Linked DNA regions of Arabidopsis thaliana. The protein of the gene in region 1 interacts with the protein of each later gene in a pairwise test. Each region holds a gene or a part of one and is shown in the gene's direction. Other genes may lie near its edges.

Region 1 (5,048 bases):
AGGAACTTCGCAATCACGATTTTCCACACCGCTGCTTTTTAAGTGACATTATAATGTGGTCGACATAAAAAAAAAAAAATGGTTTCGAAAGTCATACTTAATCACATGGTCGCAACATGTTTTCATATACGAAAAGTAAATTCTGTGAAATATGTGTATTAATTGTTTATAGGTTCATTATGAATTAAATATGTATAAAACTTGTGGTACTTCGTTACTTACTTATTAAAGAATCTTACATTAGTACTAATGTTGGAACATACTTTGAATAATAATTGACATGCAAAGTACTAAACATATGCATAACCTCATTTGATATGCATGAGCTTATTTTGTAACGTTAAACTATCATCTTGAAATGTATAAGTCAGTTTCTCAAAAATAACATTGCTAAAAACGTAATCTAATATGTAAGTCAATAATTCAAATCATTCAACCATACATTGATAAACGTCACAGTTGAAGAGAAAAAAAACAGTCAGAAATATATTTTGATTTGTGAACTATGCGTGCGTTTTGCATTCACTAACGATTAGTAACTAGGGTAATCATTCAACGATTAAATTGTGTTTCATAAACTGGCGAGCGATTAAAACACTTTTATCTATGGAAACATGTGTGTCAGAAATAATTGCATAACCAACGACGACAAAACGAATAAGAAATCATCGTGTTATCAAACTTGTAACAGTAGGTAACAGTCATACATGAATATAAACATGAAATTAATTAAATTTGTTTTAAAAGCTTTTATAATTGTTTTATGTATCCCATCAAATCGCTCTCTATAATAATGTGTGTGACTTTTTGAAAGGATGTTTTGTACCATTTTATTAACGAATCTAAAATTAAAATATTCACATTTTGTTAATTAATATGTGGTTGACTTAATTCTAGAAAAAATGAAATTTAGTACTATACTCTATTTCGCAGACCGATTTTTATTATTTTTCAAAGCGCTGACGAAAACATACGGACCGATTCTAATCTCTTATTTATGTACTCGCACATTAATTAGCTTCTTGATATTTCGATGGCGGAAGATAGCAAATTGTTAATGATACAGTTGGATTTATTTTTATTTAAATTTTCTCAACGAGAGAATCATTAAATATACAATCAATTCTATGTGTTATGAAAAACTGATATTCATTGATATATCATCAGCTAAAAAAACAATGCTATATATCAAAAACTAACAAAATTTGAAGTTAACTAATTCATGTTAAAAATTACATAAATAAGATGAAAAGATCTATTCACATAAATTTCATGAACTAGTTTACTCAAAAGTTTTGAGTCAAAACACAAGATCTATTATTAATTTCTATTTTCACATTCGTTTAGCAACTACAAAAAAGTTTGAAAGAAACCAAAAAAGTGTGAGGGAATATTCCAAATATGATATGTATGTGTACTAATTCGAATTAAGAACATTAAAAGAGGAAAATATCAGCATTAAAAATCTGTGATCATATAATTTGAAACTCAAAAAATAAAATAAAACATCAGTTAAAAAAATACTGTAATAAACAAGGGTATTATCGTCATTTCGCAAACACGTAAGGTGCTGAAAATTGATCTTTTCAAAAATTGAAAGTTCAGTTGGTGGCAAAAACCCAAAGACATTCAAAATTGTCGGATAATTTTAAATTTACAAAAAAAAAAAAAAAAACTGTTAATTCCTCTCAGACAGAGAAAAAAAAAAGAAATTAAAAATCTGTTTTCTCTCTTTTTCTTTTCTTTTCTTCCTTTGTTTTTTTTTTCTTGTGAAGCAGAGAAAAAGTTGTATCTTCTTCATTCTGTACTTTTTTGCGATTTTTTCTCCACAATCTTCTCAGTAAAATTGAAATCGCTCAAGCAGTCTCAGTTGCTACTTGAGAGATTTATACTCTTTTCTTTTTGTATTTTCACTTCCACCGCATTTTCTTACCCCTTTTTTCTCTCATTTCCGGAGTTTATAGAATCAGAAGTTTCTTCTGTGGGGGTGGATTTGGTGTGTCTGAGATCTATCTCCAGAAAAAGTTGAATCCTTTCTGAGAATCTGAAGTTTTTCTACTGAAGGTGCTGCTGATTGGCTTTGCTCTAATTTTGGAAGGTATTTAAAGCCAGGGTCTTGAAGTTTATAATGGGTTTAAGTTTTAACTCTTAAATCGAACAAATTTCAAATATTTCTGCTTTTGTTTTGTTTCTCTTTTAATGAATTCTGATCAAATTGAGAAATTTCGTACCGTCTTCTGTTTGGTTTGTGTGTAGTGTGACATAGGAATTAGTCTTTGTATCTCTCAAGATTTGAGCTAAATTTGTTTGCTTTTTGTGAATCTCTGATTAATTTTTGATTGTTGAAACTTTCAGCAAGAAAGCTCTTAAATGTCAACCAGGCAAGCAAGCCTTAGATATTTTGGTTTCTTCTTTGTTTACTTTCATGTGACTCTCTTTACTTATCTCAATCTCTAGATATTTGTATTGTTTACTCCACCAAGTTAAACGTTTCATCTGCAAAGTCTCTAGCTTGGTCTAACATTGCTTATTTCCTTGTCCAATTTTGATTGGGGAACTTCAAAACAGTGACTGAAGATTCAGAAAAAGTATTTCAGTCTATGTCCTAAAGTATTGGTCCCCGCCATTATGTTCATGAAATTAGATAGGGCTTTTGAGTGGGGTTCTTCTTCAAAAGCTTGATGGAAACCAACTATAGATTGTCATGTATGACTAGATTGTTTTATTTTTTCTTCAACATTTCCCATTTGAGCTTATAAGTTTCGTTCTTTCTTGCAGCAAAATGTCTCAGAAGGTTACTCCATTCATGCAGTCACTTAAATCTTTGCCAGCAGACTATAGATTTGATGGTTCACCAGTCTCTGACCGCCTTGAAAATTCTTCTGGTGCAAGTGTTCGCTTGACCAATTCGAATGTTCCAAGAAAAGGTGGCTTAAGGAATGGTGTTAGTCGAACTGATACTGCTGCTGGGGATAGTGAGGATTCACCATATAGCGGGCACGGTGTTTTTGTTGAAGAGCAGTCTTTAACGGATGATGTAGATTCTGGAGCTGCTACAATGCCCTTGCCTCAGAGTGATGAACGCAGGTGGAGTGACACTAGTGCATATGCTCGAAAGAAGGTATTCCTTAGATTTACATTTTGTGATTCTCGAGGCTTGAGGGTTTTGTGGTGGATTTCTTGCTAATTTGAGAATAAACTTATTGCTTCTAAAGTTATAAGAATATGGGATGAAATTTTGACAGTTTTTAACTTTAGATACTGCAATCTTGGATTCAACTTCCAAATGGTAACTGGGAGCTTGGGAAGATATTGTCAACTTCAGGGGAGGAGTCTGTTATATCTTTGCCCGAAGGAAAAGTAAGTAACTTTTTGTATTTCTAAGGTAGCCAGGTTAATTTTTGAAGTATTTGATCTGAAACTACTTTCAAACTTGAAACAGGTTATAAAAGTCATATCAGAGACTCTAGTACCTGCAAATCCTGATATTCTTGATGGAGTGGACGATCTTATGCAGCTTAGTTACTTAAATGAGCCATCAGTGTTGTACAACCTCAACTATAGGTACAACCAAGACATGATATATGTAAGTCTTTTGTTGTGATATTTTTTTTTGCTCATCAGGATAATAGTCTTTCCCCTGAATCTGTTACTATATATGTTCCAGCATCTACTCTTGCTTGGCTAACCTTTTTCCTTTATGGTGCTAGACAAAAGCAGGGCCAGTTTTGGTGGCTGTGAATCCTTTTAAGGAGGTTCCTTTATACGGAAATCGATACATTGAAGCATACAGGAAGAAATCAAATGAGAGTCCTCATGTGTATGCAATTGCAGATACAGCAATTCGCGAAATGATACGCGGTGGGTTCATGTTTCATTCTTTTGTTAATTGTTGAACGTTAACATTGCAATTCTCATAAGCTGAAAAAAATATTTCAATTCTCTCACTATTTTATCTTTTCCAATCCAGATGAAGTTAACCAATCTATCATTATCAGGTTAGTAGAACTGTCCTCTTTTATGCTTAGTTTTTGCTAATTTTCATGCCTATTGGATTTCAAATGGCACTAGCATGAGAATACTTGTTTTTGGACTAAAGATGTATTTGTATTCATGAGTCCATGACCTGTAAAGTTGCATTAGTTGTGAGACACTGAGACTAGTGGATCTGTTGAATAAAGTGGTGCTTCCAGTTTGTGTATTTTGTGGTGTATCCTTATCACAAGATTCTATTTCTTCTTCCAGCGGCGAGAGTGGAGCAGGGAAAACTGAGACTGCTAAAATAGCTATGCAATACTTGGCTGCTCTTGGAGGCGGAAGCGGGATCGAATATGAGATACTTAAGACTAATCCCATTTTGGAAGCATTTGGAAATGCAAAAACATTGAGAAATGATAATTCTAGTCGTTTTGTAAGCCCTTCATCATTCTGATTTTTGTATATTTTTAATTATCTTATGCTAAGTCGTTGAGAGTTTTAGGTCTTCGTACGTCTCACAATGTTGTTTTGATATTAAAATATACAGGGGAAGCTAATAGAGATTCATTTTAGTGAAAGTGGAAAGATATCGGGTGCTCAAATTCAAACCTGTAAGTGTAACCCTTACAGTTGTGCAACTTCACTTTGTTTTTTCATTTCTACAGAGCTAACTTAGCTTCTTTTTTCTTATTGCATGTTCTTCAAATTTTGCAGTTTTACTAGAAAAGGTAGCTTCTTTGGATGATTTTATTTGCTTGATTTCTTTCCTTTTTAAACATGATTCATTAACATTGACATTTTTTCTTTGTATGTTGACTCATTTTAACAGTCTAGAGTGGTCCAATGTGCTGAAGGGGAAAGGTCATATCATATTTTTTATCAACTTTGTGCTGGGGCTTCACCTGCACTTAGAGGTATGGTTAGTAATAATGAAATACTATAAAAGAGTCTTATAAAGAAGATTAAAAGAGGAGAATATAAAGTGTTTTTGACAGCTAAAACAATCATTCTTCTATTCAAAAAAATAAAATAAAACAATCATTCTTTAAAAACATTCAACCTAATTGTTG
Region 2 (4,263 bases), on another chromosome or scaffold:
GACAAGCATGTTTTCTTCAATAACAATTGCATCTGATGGAATCATCTTATGTACAAACACAACAAATACAAGATCCAATAAACACTTATGACTATTTGTCTCTGACTTTCTAGATACTAAACACATGTTCCTCTCCTGATCTCTGATCAACATGTGTGATCCATCTTCTCTTATTGTTACCACTCTTCCCTGAGTTCCTAGCCGCAACATGAGCTATCTCAATACCTCCGGTGACCGGAAGAGTCACCGTTCTAACAACTTTCCGGTCTCTTAAAACCCTTCTCAAGCTCGAATACCCGTTTCTACAAACCACAACAGCTCCTCTGTTTCCAAACGCAGCGTTTTTCAACGCAGCCGCTGCAAATTCTTTGTTCCGCCAATCCACGACCAAGAAGTCGACTCCTTGTAGCTTCTTCATCGCTTTTCCGGGTTCTTCAGCGACGATAGTCTCTGGAAAGTTCAAGGGAGATGAAGATTCTTGAATAGCTTGGAGATAAGCAGATTCTGATCTTGAGTTTTGTACTATACATATGTGTTTAGCGTTTGCGTGTTTGCTTGCTACGTTTAAACCAATACTTGAAGCTATTGCGTCTCCTTCTGACCAAGTTTCCACGATCAGCTTCACGTTCCATCCCGCCGCCATCGCCGCTATTAGCTCCGCCGCGTCCGGCGTTTCAAGATTCTCACACTGAACAAAAAAGAAAAGAAAAAAATCGTTACAAGAACAAACCATGAATCTTTAACAAAATTAAGATCTGAGTTTTCGAGAACTGGAGAGAAGAAGCGTGTGTTATTATTCCTTCACAACTCACCGGAAAATAAAAAAAAAACTTACCGATTTAACGGTGTCTATATAAGCCTTTGATGCTGTTTCCGGAGACCAAACCAATTTCATTTTCTTCTTCTTCTGCTTCTTCTTCTTGGTCTTCTCAAAGTTTCTCACGTTTCTTGTGTTCTGCTTCTTGTTTGGGTTTTAGCTTAAAGTTTGCTTTTATAGAGAACGTAGACATTAAGAAAAGTCTCGTTTCGTTTTGTATCGATATGGCCCTTGTATATTTGTCTAGTTTTTAGGTTTAGCCCCAATACTATCAACTTTAATCAAGTACCCCCCGATTTAGCTCCTTTGTTTAGAAATTGTTGCTTTAAAATCAGAAAATGGACATAGAGAATGCACTTGTTATGAATTAACGGAGGTAATTAGAGTACTATTATCCTAAATTTTTGTGGTGTAAAGGTTAGATTTTGAAAATGTGTAATATGTGAGAGTGATAGGTAAATTTTCTAAAAGATTTACTATGTTTTGTTCTTTCTTTCTGTTTTTTAAAGATAAGGTTTCTAGATAGTCGACTTTGACACTATTCCAGACGAATTTGACGTGTGTAGGCTAACGAGATTTAAACTATAATTAGTCTAAAACGATTTATCAACTGTTTATTCGTTAATAGTAGTTAAGTTTAGAAAATTTTCATTTAGTTGGTACAATAAAAAACACTATTCAGACCCAATTTCAATGACTTTAGTATCATGTGATAACTAAAACCAAGTGGATATAATAGATAATGTCTCATTGATCGTTGATAAGGAGTGTCTGGATACTTTTTTTTCCATCTAGGGATAATGGAGATAGTCATAGATAATGGCATAAATTTCAAACAAGTGAATCATATTTCAAAGCAAACCCAAAAGAAAGATATAAAGTATAGAAGAACTCAAACATGTGAAAAATCATCCAAGTGGAAGGTTACCTTTTAAATCACATGATGATATCATTTGCTATATACATTGATAGTGACCAATGCATTTAAACAATTGTCTTTGTACCCCATAGATCCAATTATGTGGGACAAATCAAACCTTTTTATAATTCCTATGTCACTTTGAAAACGACTCTATCGGTTGTGGCTTAAAGAAATATTAGGTCATGTTTATTCTTTTTATCCCACTTTCTCAAACTTAATGATTTGTTGTATAGTGGAATCATTTTAAGCAATTTCATTTGCCAATACAAATATTAAAATGCAAACCCACTCAAATTATCCTACTAATATTTGATTCTTTTTTTTAATTTGTAACTAGCAAACATATCAAAACTTTATAGGCGAAAGACATTCATTTCAAAAATAAGATCCTAAACTTTAAATTTCCACTAATATGATTGGTTAGACTTTGTTCATCTTTTAAGATTTCAAGAGATAAATGGGCCAGAAATAGTTGGGCCTTGAATATTAGATAAAACGACGCCATATCAACACCTCTCTCGTTAAAAGTTACAAACGCGACTCTCTGATCCTAAATTTCGTTGTACAGAGAAGAAGCAAAAGAGAGAAACATCTGACCCGGAATCTGACCTGAAAACCCGGAAGAATCGAAAAATGGGGAAAGATGGTCTGAGCGACGATCAGGTCTCGTCGATGAAGGAAGCCTTCATGCTCTTCGACACCGATGGCGACGGCAAAATCGCACCGTCAGAGCTCGGGATCCTCATGCGATCTCTCGGCGGAAACCCGACCCAAGCCCAGCTGAAATCCATAATCGCATCCGAGAATCTCTCTTCACCGTTTGATTTCAACAGATTCCTCGATCTCATGGCGAAACATCTGAAGACGGAACCTTTCGATCGCCAGCTCCGTGACGCATTCAAAGTGCTCGATAAGGAAGGTACCGGGTTCGTTGCTGTGGCGGATCTGAGGCATATTCTGACCAGTATCGGAGAGAAGCTGGAGCCTAATGAGTTCGATGAGTGGATCAAGGAGGTGGATGTTGGATCCGATGGAAAGATCCGGTATGAAGATTTCATAGCAAGGATGGTTGCTAAGTGAGATCTAATCTTTTATGTTTTGAAAGTTGAAATTTTTAAGAAGAGATTCTTTGTGTTTTTTTCACTTGTTTGTTTGATTTCGAGCGAATCCTAGCTAGGGTTTGTTTTATCATTGTGGAATTTGCTTACTAACTTTGTCTTCTTCATGTTTGTTTTCATTTTTAATGGAAATGTTGTCTGTGTGATTCCTCTTATCTTATCTAATCTCTAAGAATGTCAAGGTTTGTCTTTTATGCCTTTGTAATTCGTTGGATTGGGGTCAAGGAATCTCATTGATTCCCAATGTGGTAACTTTTCGCTCTTTCGATCTTGAAATGTTTGATTTCGATATCTAGCATTGAATTCTTTTAATAAGCCTTTTTGTTTGTTTAAGACTTGGTTTAATGTTCTTCATGTTATAGTAGTCTTCTTGAATGAGATACTATCTTCTTGTTTCATAACCTTATCCTGGCACGATCTGTGACAAGGACTGTGTTTTGTTGGTATGTGAAGTGGAAAGTAAAAAGATTGCGAAATGATTTAAAGATCTTTTGTTGCTCTCAAGCTTGTGCTGTTCAATATCGTGTTGTTATGTTGCTGTTGGATGTTGTTTGTCTTTCAGGGCGGCATGTTGTACCTAGATAACATGGTTTAAGGTAATAAAGCTTATGATGGCTCATCAGAACAAAGTTTTGAAAAAGCTTATGGCACTGACATTGTAGTTCATGTTCTCGAAACGGTAGTTTTTGACTCGGTTTTGGTTCTTGTTATGGTATAGTTTTCTTGTGTAGATGGTTATGCGAAAATGAAATTTCAATCTGATGCAAGTTTCAAAGTTTGATTAGATACATGCATTCTCTATATGTTCCTGTTACTTCTTACTAATACATGATTTGTGTGAAGATCAAAGCTCTCAAAATAATATTTCCGTTAATGAATACCACATGTAAATGATAAGAAGTATTGTAGTGGTGAAAAGAAAAGAGCATATAAATATACGCATTAGAATGATACCCAAAATGTTCGGTTCACTACACTATGAATCTGTTAACATACAATGTCCGGTTTAGACCGATTAAACAAAAACACGAGTGAATAAAAACAAGCTCTCTCTAATCCCGAGTTACTGGACTCTCCCTATTTGCAAGTAAATTGAGACGTGGCAGTATTTGGATCGCTAGATCAAAACGTAGGAGGGTGCCAAAGGCCATTGATGCATTCCACCGAGCAACTTAAAAGATAAAAATCTTTCCGTATTTTATAGTAAGATACAAAAAAAACCAATTCCGGCATAATTTGAATTGAACCGGTTTATTTGGTACGTTTCGGGTGTTGTTTCTTTTGTCTCTAAGCTCCGTCCGTCGTGTGCCATGGCTGTTTTGTAGGGTTTGCAATTTACACACAGAGTGAGAGTGAGAGTTTGAAAAGGAACGATTCAGCTTGAGATGGTGAAGTTGATGATACGG

The links.
Region 2: the proteins of ATM1 (region 1) and AT1G12310 interact in a two-hybrid assay, tested with the Arabidopsis thaliana proteins (one large-scale study listed by BioGRID).

The regions. Positions count from the first base shown.
Region 1 is NC_003074.8:6,947,005-6,952,052, forward strand, and holds the start of ATM1 (myosin 1), read left to right. Parts: upstream 1-1,769; 5' UTR 1,770-2,098; intron 2,099-2,415; exon of another isoform or gene 2,416-2,706; intron 2,707-2,778; 5' UTR 2,779-2,782; coding exon 2,783-3,121; intron 3,122-3,258; coding exon 3,259-3,360; intron 3,361-3,442; coding exon 3,443-3,586; intron 3,587-3,710; coding exon 3,711-3,861; intron 3,862-3,970; coding exon 3,971-3,998; intron 3,999-4,099; coding exon 4,100-4,128; intron 4,129-4,226; coding exon 4,227-4,411; intron 4,412-4,525; coding exon 4,526-4,589; intron 4,590-4,692; coding exon 4,693-4,706; intron 4,707-4,807; coding exon 4,808-4,892; intron 4,893-5,048. UniProt on the Arabidopsis thaliana protein: Myosin heavy chain that is required for the cell cycle-regulated transport of various organelles and proteins for their segregation.
Region 2 is NC_003070.9:4,186,056-4,190,318, reverse strand, and holds AT1G12310 (Calcium-binding EF-hand family protein), read left to right. Parts: upstream 1-2,085; 5' UTR 2,086-2,372; coding exon 2,373-2,819; 3' UTR 2,820-3,666; downstream 3,667-4,263. Other genes in the region: AT1G12320 (ankyrin repeat/KH domain protein (DUF1442)), read right to left, coding at 110-688, 836-895; AT1G12300 (Tetratricopeptide repeat (TPR)-like superfamily protein), read left to right, coding at 4,243-4,263.